Linked DNA regions of Drosophila melanogaster. The protein of the gene in region 2 interacts with the protein of the main gene of each other region in a pairwise test. Each region holds a gene or a part of one and is shown on either strand. Other genes may lie near its edges.

What was found.
Region 1: the proteins of Mef2 (region 2) and SPoCk interact in a two-hybrid assay, tested with the Drosophila melanogaster proteins (one large-scale study listed by BioGRID).

What each region holds. Positions count from the first base shown.
Region 1 is NT_037436.4:22,757,073-22,764,052, reverse strand, and holds the start of SPoCk (secretory pathway calcium atpase), read right to left. Parts: upstream 4,077-6,980; coding exon 3,813-4,076; intron 3,265-3,812; coding exon 3,244-3,264; intron 1-3,243.
Region 2 is NT_033778.4:9,925,353-9,932,241, reverse strand, and holds the start of Mef2 (myocyte enhancer factor 2), read left to right. Parts: upstream 1-2,626; 5' UTR 2,627-3,342; intron 3,343-5,372; 5' UTR 5,373-5,755; intron 5,756-6,889. UniProt on the Drosophila melanogaster protein: Transcription factor that could be a key player in early mesoderm differentiation and may be required for subsequent cell fate specifications within the somatic and visceral/heart mesodermal layers.

The DNA.
Region 1 (6,980 bases), on a different chromosome or scaffold from region 2:
GTAAATTTTTCAAGGGAGTTACGCTTGGCCGAAAGTACAGCTTTTTTGAAAAGCGCGTTTGCTTTTTTGTATCGGATAAGGTTTGTATCATTCGTATTGGCTTTGTAGGACGAGAACAAGCGTTGCTTTTGGTCCCTAAGCTGTTGAAGGTTAGCGTTCCACCATGGCACCTTGGCTTTGTGGATCACCCTTTTCGTTTGGGGAATGCTATAGTTTGCAGCTGAACGTATGACTTTCGTCATTTGTGCGACTTGCTGATTTAGGCAACCGACCGTCCAATATGCTGCTGATTTTTCGCAACTTTCGTTAAAGCGTTTCCAGTTCGCTTGGTCTGTCTTGTATTTAGGCAGGGGTAAAGTGTTATCGGGACGGGTAGGTGTGTTTATGTGGATGGTTATGGGAAAGTGGTCACTTCCATGGAGATTATCTGATATAGACCAGCTGCACATATGGGCTATCTGTGGAGATATCAGTGAGATATCAATGTGGGTGAACGTATTGTGAGTTGAAAGGTGAGTCGGGGAACCGTCGTTAAGAACAATTAGGCTGTTTTCAAGAATTACGGTTTCAATTTTTTTACCCCTTGTATTTGTGCGAGGTGAACCCCATAAAGGACTCCATGAGTTAAGATCACCCAGGAGTATTGTGGATCCGTTAAGATTTTGAAGAATTTCTGATATGTCAGAAGATGAAAAAATTTGACTTGGTGGGATGTACGCATTAACAATATTAATGACCTGTTCAAAATTAAGCTGCAGTGCGGAGCAGAGTATGCTGGAGTTAATGTTACGGTATGTATGTGGGACATTCCTTTTAATAAGAACACCAATGCCTTGTTTGGCTGAGGTGTTATAAGAAAAATTGTGGAAGTAACCACTATATTCTTTGGGGCAAATAAAATTTGTAGAATTACATGGAAGGTTGGTTTCCTGCAAAAATACAATATCGGGTGCATGGTCTTTTATGAGTAGTGTCAGTTCGTTGTAATTATTAAAAATGCCGTGGATGTTCCATTGTAATATAGTAATTGTCATGATTAAAAATTTTTTTTTTTTTATTTATTGTTTTTTGTTGGACTGTTATTAATTTGTGGTGTGTGTATATGAAGGTAAGGGTGAGAGGATCAGGACTAGGAATCGGGATCGTCCATAGTGTCTGAGTCTGTTGTGTTGATTTTTGTTTGTAGATTTGAGGTTTGTGAAGCAATTGATTCGTTTGAGTTGGATCTTGAGGTCATTAACGTATTGTTGTCGTCGTTGTAGGTTTGTCCTAATAGAGCGTTTGCTTCCGCCCTAAGGGAGCGAGATCGTTCGATGCATGTTTTTTTTAGGTAAGAGAAATCAGTTTTGTCAGAGGTGCTTGGGGAGGAAGTAAGATTCTCTTCGAGATTCAAAGAGTTCGTCCGAGAAGTGGGATACGTTGGTGAGAGCGGAGCTGGTACTTTTGTCGAGCTGGTGGGCAAGTCGGTGTTTGTAATCGTGTTAGGGTTTCGGGATTTTTTGACAAGCATCACGGATGATGTGCTTTGGTTTGCGACGGTCGAGTAGGTAAGCGTGGGGTTATTTGTTGTGTTTTGTTGTTGTTTTAGTATAGTGCGAGCTTCATGGAAACTGCATTTTTTGCTTGTTTTGATGTGGAGCAGTTGTTTTTGTGTTTGGTATTGTGGGCATTCGGGTGAGGAGGCTGGATGTTGGCCGGTGCAGTTTGCACAGAAAATGCGAGTGCATGGCACGGGAAGGTGGGGAGCGAGATTGCATGATACACAGGCAGGTGGGTTTTTGCAGTGCTTTGATGTGTGTCCTAATAATTGACAAGACTTACATCTCATCGGGTTGGGTATATATTCTGACACCTTAACTGTGTGCCAGGAAACCGTTAGTTTACTGGGAAGAGTGAAACGGTCGAACGTTACGAGAACTTTTCCAAAAGGTTTGGGGGTGCCGTCGATCATTTTGGTAAATTTAAATACGCTGTGTACATTTTGTGATTTTAGTTCCTCAACAATTTCGTTTTCTGGAATGTTAATAAGACAGGGAGCGTAAATGGTGCCTTTGACAAAGTTAAGAGTGTTGTGGAGCTTGCACTCGATATCGCATAAGCCAGGTAAAGAAGTCACTTTGATAAATTTGTCACTAATTTCCCTGGAGTTAACCAGCAAGAGAAGGTTACCATCCCGAAGATTAGAGATGGATGTAATGTCTTTGCTGATATACTTAAGGGCTCTATGGACAGCAAAGCAGTTGTAGTCGGATATGGTTTTCGGAGAGTTTTTTGATGAGACCACTAAATATCTCGGATTTTTGCACTGCGTTTCAGGGAGGTCTGGGAAATCAACTTGTAATTTTTGATAGGGTCTTTTTTTCTTAGCTTTGGGGCTAACGCTGAGACTGGCAAAGCGATTATCCCCCAAATTGAGTGGCCCGGGGGCCATGGTTAATAAATTTATGGATATTGAATGTTTTTGATTTGCACGTACGCGTTGATAAGAAGATCAAGAAGATAAGATGATAAATATCAATGTAACGGCGATGGTAATTACGCGATAAGCAAAGCTCACACAATTGGAAAGACACAGACGTCCGCACTCGAAGAGAGATAGTCGGTGACGTTGCAAATATACACCAGTACTTTAGCTACATTATTTTGGTGTAAAGACTTATGGACTTGGTAATCGTAGAAGTACTGTCGACATTTTTCTAACTATTTAATTTTGGCTATGCATCCTTGGATCCTTAAGATTATACCCGTTACTCGTAAAGTAAAAGGGTATACTAGCTTCGTTGAAAAGTATGTAACAAGCAGAAGGAAGCGTTTTCGACTATATATAGTATATATATATTCCTGATCAATAGCTGAGTCAAACTGGCCATGTTCATCTTACCAGGATGGTTTAGATTAGGCATACAGATTTAAGTTTGTTGATCCATATTGCAACGCCCACAGTCTTGCCAAGTTCTACCGGTATACCAAAAACACTTTGGCCACGCCCCTTCTCACACCTACAAAACGCCCAAAACGGTCACGCCCACACTTTTAAACAATTTTTAAATTTTTTCTTTTATTCTCCAATATCTATCGATACTTCAGAAATATGATGAAATTTCGTGTTCGCATTTCCACTAGTTGAGTAACGGGTATCTGATAGTCGGGGAACTCGAATTTAGCAACTTCTCTTGATTTTCATCTGTGTGGTGTTAATTAGTTTTTGTGTGAATTTTAATTACGACAGTTAAGCCTGAGAGCCTGAATAATGTTTCCATTTTGCTTTGTTGTTGTATACACGTGAAAAGTGTGATGCTTAGAATTAAGAGGAAACTCAAGTTTTACATACATACCTGAAAAGGTAAAAGACGGAAAAGGTGATAGATAAATTATAACAAATGGCCTTATGAGAAGGTCTTTTTACTTTAATAATAATTATTATAAAAAGTAGTTGTATTAGGAATTAGTCACCTAAAAAAGGTAGCATTGCAGACATCAGCCACATAATGTAATCTTTTTTCACATTTTGTTCAATATAACCTTTTAAACATCGTACACAAATCCCACCCAAATTATTTATTAATTAAAGCGATTCCAAAACATATATACTTTAGAAGAACAAGAGTTTCTGCCCCTTGCATTATGAATTTCGTCATAATAATAATAAGTATTAAAATTGTTATGCCCAAGTTATGCGGAGACACGTCCCAGTGAGAATGGGGAGAATTGGTCGAGGAACTTGAATTCCCTGAACAAATACGCGTACATAGCAAAGTAACCCCGTCATATCTCATCACTATAGTCAAAACATATTTTTCATCACCTCTCACCTGATCCACATTGTCCTCATCCGGCTCTTTGCAATCCTTCATGTCTGCTACTTTGCCCGGCTTCACATTTTGCGGAACAGCCCTTGAGTCCTTGACGTGGCTGATGGTCCTCTGTGGGTTAGGCTTACTGTCGACGCCCTTGATCTTGGAACGGCGATTGCGTACGCCACTCGAGGTTGTTGGGCTTTCAATCAGGACCGTGGAGCCAGGACTTGCCGGCGAGGTCCTACGCTTGGACGTCAAGGGCTTTGGAGTTTTGGACATTCGGGCGAATTTGTACTGAAGTAAGACTCAATGAAGCAGAGGGCGCCGCCTCGTAAAGAGCAATGAACTGCCCTTCCATTTACGTTAATACCCTACGCGTGTCCTTCTCTTGATAAGGTCCATAGAGTTACCCATCTCGGGACATAAGTAATCTAATTATCGGCCCACCGGGGTGGGAACCTTAAAGTGTCGCCATATGGAAAACACCTTCTTCTCTTCATTCTGCGTAAAGTTTGAACAGTAAGTACTGGGCAGCAAACCACTCTGGAGCTAAACTATTCCCAGAGCCAGATTTTAAATCGTTTATTTTCGACAAACCGAATCAAAATCAAATGGAAACTGCAACGAACAAGCGCTCTTTACGTATGGTAAAAAATTCAATTTAAAAAACACCTGTCAATTGACTCGATTTACGTAACTGGAGGGTGGTCACAAAGTCCTCAGTACAACAATCTAATATGCGCAGGATAAGTTATTTATTGAGCCTTGAGAGTCGCGGAGGGTGGATTGGGTGGATAATAGTTGGGCGCAATGGCCAGTCAGAGATATGCGGTCGTTGGCTGCAAAGCCGCAGGGCGTTGGGGCTTAAGACAACCAGAGGTATGACCATTAAGTTTCCCGTTTGTAAGTGACAAGCAATAATGGACTTGATTTAGGGGTTACCACACATGAGAAATTCATATGTGAGAGTAGTGTTGATTTATAGTGTTTTAAATTAAGAATCAGGCATCTTAAAGCTTATAATTATGTACTAGTATGAAATAAATAACACACCATAACCATAAACGTACGAAATAAATTGTTCTAGTAATTTCCAGTCTCTGTTTTAAAAAAAGAGAGAATGCTATAACGAATTCCCCGACTATCAGATACCCGTTACTCAGCTAGTCCAAGTGGGACCGAGAATTATCAACATTTTCAGGAATATCGGTATAAATTGGGGGAAAAAATTATTATTTGAATGCTCTAAGGTGTGAGTGGTTTAAAATATTAGGTAACTGCAAGGGTATATAAGCATCGGCTTGCCAAAGTTAGCTTCCCTTCTTGCCTTTATACGAAGCATTTTCAAAAAATAATTCCGCGACCGAGCCGACTTTGTTCTTGACCAATATATGTGTCCTAAAATGGTCAGGGGTTAAGCACCTGAACTGGGAGTTTCCCATAAAAATCTATTCACAACTAGCAGGGAGTTGGTTTCCAGGAAAAGTTTTAAATTCGAATTTGGAGGTGAAAGACAAAGCGAAATCATAAACAGGCATCTCTCCTTTCACGAAGTGCCAAATAAAAAGTTTTTCAATTTAGATTTATAAACCAACATAACGTAGGTAATTGCCGCACAAAGTTGCCTGGCGTGTTTAAATAAAAGTGAAGCGGGAGATGTAGCGCCCAGTCCTCTGCGCCTCGAAGGAAAAGTGCTTCCCGTGCTCGAGGATCCAAAACATTTCAGCGGAATTGCAGTGCATATAATTTTCGCTGTTGCGTTTTAAAGCAGCCGCTGCCTGATACACCAAGAGCAATGCCCGTCTTCATGGCAGTCTCTCTAACACAAAACTCCTAGCTAGATATTCTGATCGTGGCCAGCCAGCACCCCTTCCACACAGGACCTACCGAATTTGTATCTGTTGGGGCACTGAGTGCGGTTACCCGCTGACAGACATTAGCACAGCTTATACATACCTCCGGCACCCAGCTCCGCTCCACTATCTCCCCCTGCGTCTAATGCATCTGAAAATTGCGAAAACTTCTGGCAGAAGGACCGCCGGAGATGGGGAAGGGGTAGGTGCACTGTGTATATCTGTATCTGTATCTGGCAGATACGAGCTACAGTTATTTTTATAAACTTCTCGCTTTCGCCTCTCCCGATGTCCGTTTATCTGGCTGTGGACCCGGGGCAGACAATGTAGATTTAGCCAGTCCAATGGTTAACGTTTACCACACACGAATTTCCAACACTGAAGAGTGCAGCCACTACTTTAAGGTGAATTTCCAGTCGCTCGTGGACAAAATCCGTGTATATTGTATGGTTTATCCCCCACCCGAAAAGAATGTGAGGTATGTAACAAGTAGCTGCAGTATTTGGACGTACATATTGGTACACATGAAATATAATATCCCTCGATATCTGCCGCATGTTGCCAAGCATCTTCATAAAAGTGCGCGTCAGAATTAAATGGCTTCACAATTAAATTGCTCATGTAATCTATGAGGCTAGAGCGCTCGGGAGCTCCTGAAAGGCTTGTCAAACATTACCTGTTAGGTGGATCGATTTCCACCTCCGCCACACGAGGCTTTTGCTTTTGACGCAGACACCAGATCCAGACGACACATACTCGTATCAACAATCCGACAGAGAAGCCTGGGAAGCTGCTGCGTCAGCCAAAAATGATATATTGTAGACTGGATGCAGGGACAGCGCTTTCAGTAAATATGTTCTCATGTCGCTTTAATTGTTTTTACAGGCTGCACCCCGCCCTGATGTTTTTCAATTTCAACTTTTCTGCACTTTACAATACATTTTGCAAAAGTTGGTCTAATAACTAAACATAATATTAAATGCTAAAAAATACTCCTAACCATTCATGTACGAGAAGTGAGTATAACAATCCAAGCTCAAAATGTATATAGGTTTCCTTTTTTTTTTTTTTGGTCAATCCAAAAACTAGTTTCACTATCTTCTCAGCTAAGGACTCACATACAACGTTTCATAAGGAATGTACGGCTTCTTTAGTCTGAGTGCATAATCATTTTTTGTTCCCAAGCGTTTCCAATAAAAAGCGTTTTCGGGTTCCTGTTCTCCTGTGACTGCTAGGGGTGTCGGTCAAAGACTCTAGAATATTCTACACTAGTTATTCTAGTGTCTTTTGTGTCGCTAGTGGTGGACGAAACTTTACATTGCACAAGCGG
Region 2 (6,889 bases):
GAAATCTCGACGAGCAATTAAAAAGATGTTTTTCCTGTAATTCCGTATGCTTACAACCCTCCGGATACACTTGGAGCTGTTCTACTGCTGGGTATCTGCAAGATGGGCATGGCACGAAGGGCAATTTGAATGAGATTTATGAAATTACCTACGCAGCGTTTACAAAAACATCATCGGCGGAGGGCAGTGGCGTGGAGATGAGTTTCACGTGGTTTGGCTTGTCTTGGCTTGGGGTACTCAAAGATCCCCCTGAAGAAACCCCTGCCAAGCAGTTAAAGTCGGACTCAACGCACATTGAGGCCGATGCTGCTGCTGCTGCTACTGCCGCAGATGCCGCATGTTGCACATGTGTTGAGTGCATGCAACATGCAGCATCAACCGTACGGCGCACAGCATCGGGGTACATGGTCATGCGCAAATCGCCGGGCGGCGTTTATTGAATTAAGACTGTCGACGACTGTTTGCAGTTGGCAGTTGTCGCACCCAGTGGAAGCGTTAAAAGTCACAAGGACACTGCAAACGGGAATCAGAATGGAAATGGAAATGGAAATGGGAATGGTAATGGGAGTGGAAGTGAGAAAGGGATCTTCGGATATACACACATGGATCGTTTGCTGCTGGGTTCGGTTCTCAAAATGCAACATTGTGGCGCCGCCGAGAGGCGAGGGCCATAAAACGGGTAACTTGGTCGCGCTGCACTTGGTATCGGTTATGCGTGATTTTTACAGAATCCATTCACTCGACGGGGCGGAGCAATATCTGCGGCATCTGGCATTCGCATATTACTCGGAAAGTCACGTTAAAGTTGCGTCCACTTAACTGCAACTGCAATATGGGCATTCCTTAAGATTTCACCTCCCTTAATGTCCTTTTGTCTGTGTTTTAACTATCACTCCAGTTATTAAATCGCAACTTACAGTAAACAAGAAAATCTTTTAATATATTTTCTTATTGATTTAAATGCCATATGGTAATGGCTAATCACTAAAATTCTCGCTATTGGAAATATTTTTATTATGTATAAATAGACGCAAAATCATTTCCTATATGGGTTAGAACTATAGATGGCTGGAAAGTAGCCACAGCTTTTATTTGCCTCCCAGATGTGGACTAATCACATACAACGTTCCCAATTTTCCTGCTTTTATAAAAGTCGATTTTTGTAATAAACTCTATTGGGATCAAGTTGGGGTACATGTATCCCTACTTTATTATCTTTTCGCCTACATAACCTGCATAATAGAGCGTGTTTAAGGTAAATAATATCTCGCTTAACGCAACAATAGACAGGGTCTGGGTCACAGGGCTTTGGATCCCACTTGGCTGGCTGGCGGTCCGATTCACAAATTAAGCCCCAACTTCAGCCATACAACTACTTTACCTCTGTCTGAATAGGCAATCATCAATCGAGCAGAAACAATGAATCGTTGGTTGCCGCACACCCTAGGATCCTACGGGTCCTACTCTTTGTCCCTTCCGATTCCTTCCTGTTTGTTTTGTGTACCCGCCAGCAGACGAATTACAGGATATGTTGTATGTTGTATCGCACAAAATTAGGTAACAAATGAAAAAAGGATTTACGCTTTATTTTTTCTGAATCAAGTTCAACATTCTAGTTTACGTTCACATCGGAGCTAAGAAGCTAAACAGCTGTCACAATTCCAAAGTTAATATAACCTATTAAAAATGAAATTAATTTTAATGATAGTTATATCATACTTCGCGTTTCTAAAAGGCGTAACCACAGCCAGTAAGTATGCCCCATCTTTTGTAACAGGGTATCGAGTATATACTTACCTTTTTTTCTACTGCCAAACGCAGGTCAACAAAGTTTTTATTAAGCTGCGTCGAAGGGGAAAACTAATGGTGGGTGGGTGTTTATAGAGAGGATCCAGTGGCAAGGACAAATAAATAAAATACACACAAAAAAAAAACCAGATAGTGGGCAAAGCGGGAGGGGAGAGGTCCTGGCAGGGCAGGGAGATACGGATACAAAGGAAAACGGAAACCAAAGCGATGTTTAGCAGGGGTGTAGTTAATGGGGGTGGTGAAGTGGGGGATAATTAACATTTATGGGAGGTTGCCAGAGCGGGACAACAAGCTCGGCGAGGGAACTAACTGTAACTGTTGCTGATTGATCAAGTGTGTGGGTGAGTGTGCGTGTGTGTGTGTCTGGCTGGGGCACAAACAAAAACCATATGTTTCTCGTTCGACTCCCGCACGCACTCACTCACAAACCGAATTACTCACTCACCCCCACCAGCCCCACACTCTAACCCCCCGCCACCTCTCGCTCACTCTTGCTTTCGTTGTGAGTAGGAACTCAAAGTCAGCGGCTGCGCACTCTCTCCGTCTCTCCCGCTCTCCGATTGCCCGGCAATGTATGTGTGCGATATTCTGTTACACAAAAAGGCAAAAACAAAAGGCACCGTTAGAAGGTGTGCGCGTGTGAGTGAGTTCACCACGAAACGAAAATCCTCACCGCCAGCCTACGTATACGTGTTCGTTGCTGGCTGTGCGTGTGTGTGTTAGTGTGCGACTGCGAGAGAGCCTGGCGCAGTGCAGCTGTGTGCGGGCGTATCTGTGTGTGCGTACTTGGCGTTACGACGTCAACGACGGCATATCCGTCAGTACGTTTGTACGCGTCCGCAGCGCCGCTTCTTCAGTTTTTCGGTTTTCGGGATTTCGAGATTTTGAGATTTCGATTCGATTCGATTTCGGCAGATCAGTTTGCGATCCGTTTGCGAGTTCGATATTTTCATTCCGAGCCAACGATCCAACGATCCGATTCCGCTAGCGATTCACAACAGATAGAGATCCTATATCGAACGCCGCGAGAAATTATGCTGGCCCGCTGCTCTCGCACTACGCGCAATAATTTATTTTTACTCCATATAAACAAATTCAACGTCTATTTCCAAAAATAAATGGCAACAATAATAAAAATAACAACAGCCGTCGGACAATTATAAGTTTTTATTTTTAACTTTTATTTGCGCCAACCGCGGCCGCGACATCCCCGCCCCCGCCTGCCCGGACTTTGTTTATATTTACAAAAAGCTAAAGCACACGACAAACACAACAGCAAACATATCACTGACTGCATTTCGCCCCGATGTTTATCGAACGAGCGGCGTAAACAAAGCCAGAATTCAAACAATAATTCAATTTGCATCTCAATTGCAAAGATTTTCGTGTGTGTGCTCGGAAACATTTGTGCAAACACCTCGCCAGCGACCTGACATCCCCAGAAAAGTTCAAAACTCGTCGGTTTCTATTGAGTAGTGTATTTTTGAGAACATTTTTTCGAGAAAACGGAAGCTCAGCTAAAAAGCGATTCATGTAAGTTTATCTACTGCAATGAGGAATGTTTTTGGTTTGAAAACTAGTTTTTAAAACCAAAGTACCTTTGCGAAATGGGTAGAAAGATTTTCATTCTTGTATTAAGAATAATTTTTCCTGTTTGTGATAACCATTTGACTTATATTTATGAGCGTCATAAAATCCAATTGAATGCCTCATTACATTATAAGTGATTTTCGGTTAGTCATACTTTTGAGACACATTGTTAAATTAATTATAAATTATGAATTATAAAACCTAATTTTGGTTATCATATCCACCTTTGCTCATTGAGCTATTATTCCGCCCAAAGGCTTAGTAATTATTTACAGATCATCGATGGGCTGTAAACCCCTCCTTTCATATGCCGATAGGGCAATTTGATTATATATAATTTACAATTACAAAAACACTGGCAGCCGGCATGTCGGGAACCAAATAAGCAAGTTACCCATGCACACTGACGTCATCGCTGAGCCAAACGTTGGGATTCCGAAGAAAAAAAAAAGAGATATCGGCCGGGTTTTCGAATTGTGCCTCGCTGTCTTGATTCCAGTTCAAACAGTTCCCTTTCAATTGATATCATTCGATGTTTCAATTTCTTTTCTTGCGATTTAATGCTGAGAGTAGCTGCCATACACTCGGACGGGCGAACACGCACACACAAATACTATATACGTTCCACTGATAAGCGATTTTCGTATCAATATTGAGGGCCCGCGAGAACCGTACTCCTCCGGCGAAGTTCAAATCCATTTCCCTGCTATCAAGTTCTTTTGCATGTAGTTTTTATGGCCGACCGACCGACCAACCGACTAACTGACTGATTGACTGGCTGGCTGGCTGGCTGGCTGATTGGCGAATTTGCTGATAATTGTCTGCACTTTGTTTCAGCCAGCAGCAAATGCACAGAGAATTATATTTTCTCTTATCTCGCCTCAGGCAGCTGGACATGCGTGCAATGCACTTTGACACCTACGCAGGATCATAAGGGGGGTCGCGTGGGAAGGGAGTAGGGGAATTTCGTTTCGATCCAGGGAGCAGTGGGTTCAAATAACAAACAAAGCCATTCGAAGGCGATAATCACCGCAGATTTGCCGTGGACTTAGCCACGGCGATCGCCGATAAACGATTACGGTCATTCGGCATTGCAGAGCCTAGATAACGGGACCCCACCTCCGATCACGTTCACGTTCGGACCATCATCACGACCATCATTAACCTCCGAGATCTTTAACACTATTTGGTGTAGTCACGTTTGGGTCGCGTTTGTATTTTAAGTGTTCCATCAATAGAGAAATTATAATATTATTTATTTATTTTCTTTTTTGTATTTTAAGTGTTCCATCAATAGAGAAATTATAATATTATTTATTTATTTTCTTTATTATTTCATTATTATTTATCTCATTCTATAACAATTTAGTTATTTCCAATACCTAAAGCTTCATAAGTTAAGCGAAAAAATAAATGTTTTAACTGTTTTTTTTTTTTGGATGCCTTTCAATTAGTTTTGAAATTCAAAAATGACACACGATTCTGAAAAACTGCAAGTAAAATAAAGAATACAATCCATGAAGGAAAACCCACAAACGACATCTTATCAGGTCAAAATAATTTGTTGGCAAATTTTCAACGAAAAATAGTTGAGTTACGTTTGTTGTTGGCGTTTTCGGTGCTTGATAAAAAATTCGAAATCAAAATTTGTTTTATTTGCTCGTGTTTTTTTTTTTTTGCGGCCACTATCTGCCATCGAGAGCGAGAGTCTTTCTTATCACACGTGCGCATGTGAAGGTGCCCACGCTCACTGACAAGCCAAATGAAGCACAATCTGGTCGATGTGTTGGTGTAGTTATTAAAAAAATAAATGTTCCTTTGCCATTTGCCGTGTTTGCGGCTCTCGAGTGTCTGTGATAATTATGGTTATTGCCGCCGCGCTCCCCCACATATATTGTATATAAAAATAAAAATAATAATAATTATTATTATTATAACGATTTCTTTCTGTTTGCGCCTGTGTTTTGGTTTAGCTCCCTCCCCCACACTCCGCCCGCTTTTGCGGCTGTGTAGGTGCTGGCGATAAGATAGAAGTGCTCTAGGTGTACTTCTAGGTGACTCGGGGCCCGAGAACTCAAATTTGTTCGACTACCTTAACATGAGACGCGTGTTTCGGGGCGAAAAACAAAAACCTTGGATTCTTTTGCTTTTGCTGGCATTTCTGCAATCGAAATTGTTGATAAACGCGGTGCAGGAAGAGAGCCAGATATCGCGGAGCCAATGCGATTGCTTGCAAAAATATTGGAAATCGAAGTTTGCCGATATTTCACTTGCTTCAAACAGGCACATTTTATCTCAAAAGCATTTATCATTTGCCTTTAGCATTTACCACGAGCGTCGTATTCACAAAGTGTGTGTAAGTTGTGGATAATATTTTATAATATATAAATAATATACTAAAAATAGATGTAAATGTTAATAAGATATGAGGTAGTTTGAATTGAAATGTAGATTTTATGACAAGTTCATTTTAGTTTCTCAACTCGTCAGTTTTTAAAATCTATTCTTCAAACGCAATCCTATCCTCATCTCTTCGTCCCCAATTGGTATTGATGGCTATCCCCAGCATCTTTGCTCGTAATTTACAGTTCTAAACTCAACTTCCGACCGCCCCCGAAGACTACAAAAAAAAGTTCCGCCTCATTGGCAGTACGCAATGAGTCGTTTTCATCGCGTCTTAAAACGCGCGCGCGTGTCTTTAATTAAGTCAAGATTTATAACCGGGGTCCCAGGAATGCGTTAACTGCGGCACATTAACAACAATAACAAAAGTCGGGGACATTGACGGATCTGATCTGGTTGATGAAAAGTGAAAGTGAGCTGCGACCAAGGAAGTCAAGACAGGCCGAAAAGAGCAGAGCTAGTGAATTAAGAAAAATTAACAAATATATATCTAGAACACTCACTGGTCAGGCCAACGTGCGTATAAACCCACGGAATGGTTATTATTTGAAATTGAGGTGATAAATTCGGAGTTTTTTAAACTTGAAATTTGGCCGGTCAGCAGCCATAAAAACGGAATTTATGAAAGGTCTCTCGTTCGCGATCTCTGTCGCTCTAATTGAGGCTGAAAGCTCCAGACGGTGAGAGATTGCATTCAGATCGGCTCATCTCATTGCGATCGCAACTGGTTTTTGAATCGGTACGGGGTTCATTCCTCCAAAATACGGAAAAGTTTAACATTTGCATAAATTTGGCCGCAACAAATGCTAATTGAGCGCAATCAAGGCGAGCAACAAGTTTTCGCCTTTTAATGCCTGCTCATCGGAGAAAAAGCCGCAGAGCGTGATTCACTAAATCAAATCGATAATGTCCCCGCCTTTGTTGGTCCAAACAATTAGGGAAAGCGCAAAAGTTGCTAAGCAGAAGGCTTCCCACCCAGTCCGGTCCAACAGAGAAATTGAGAGAAACTGCAAATCAGAGGAGCTGGGCAAAACACCCACGTTCTTGAGATTTGTTCTTGGCCATTTGCCTAATGATGCCGTCGCAG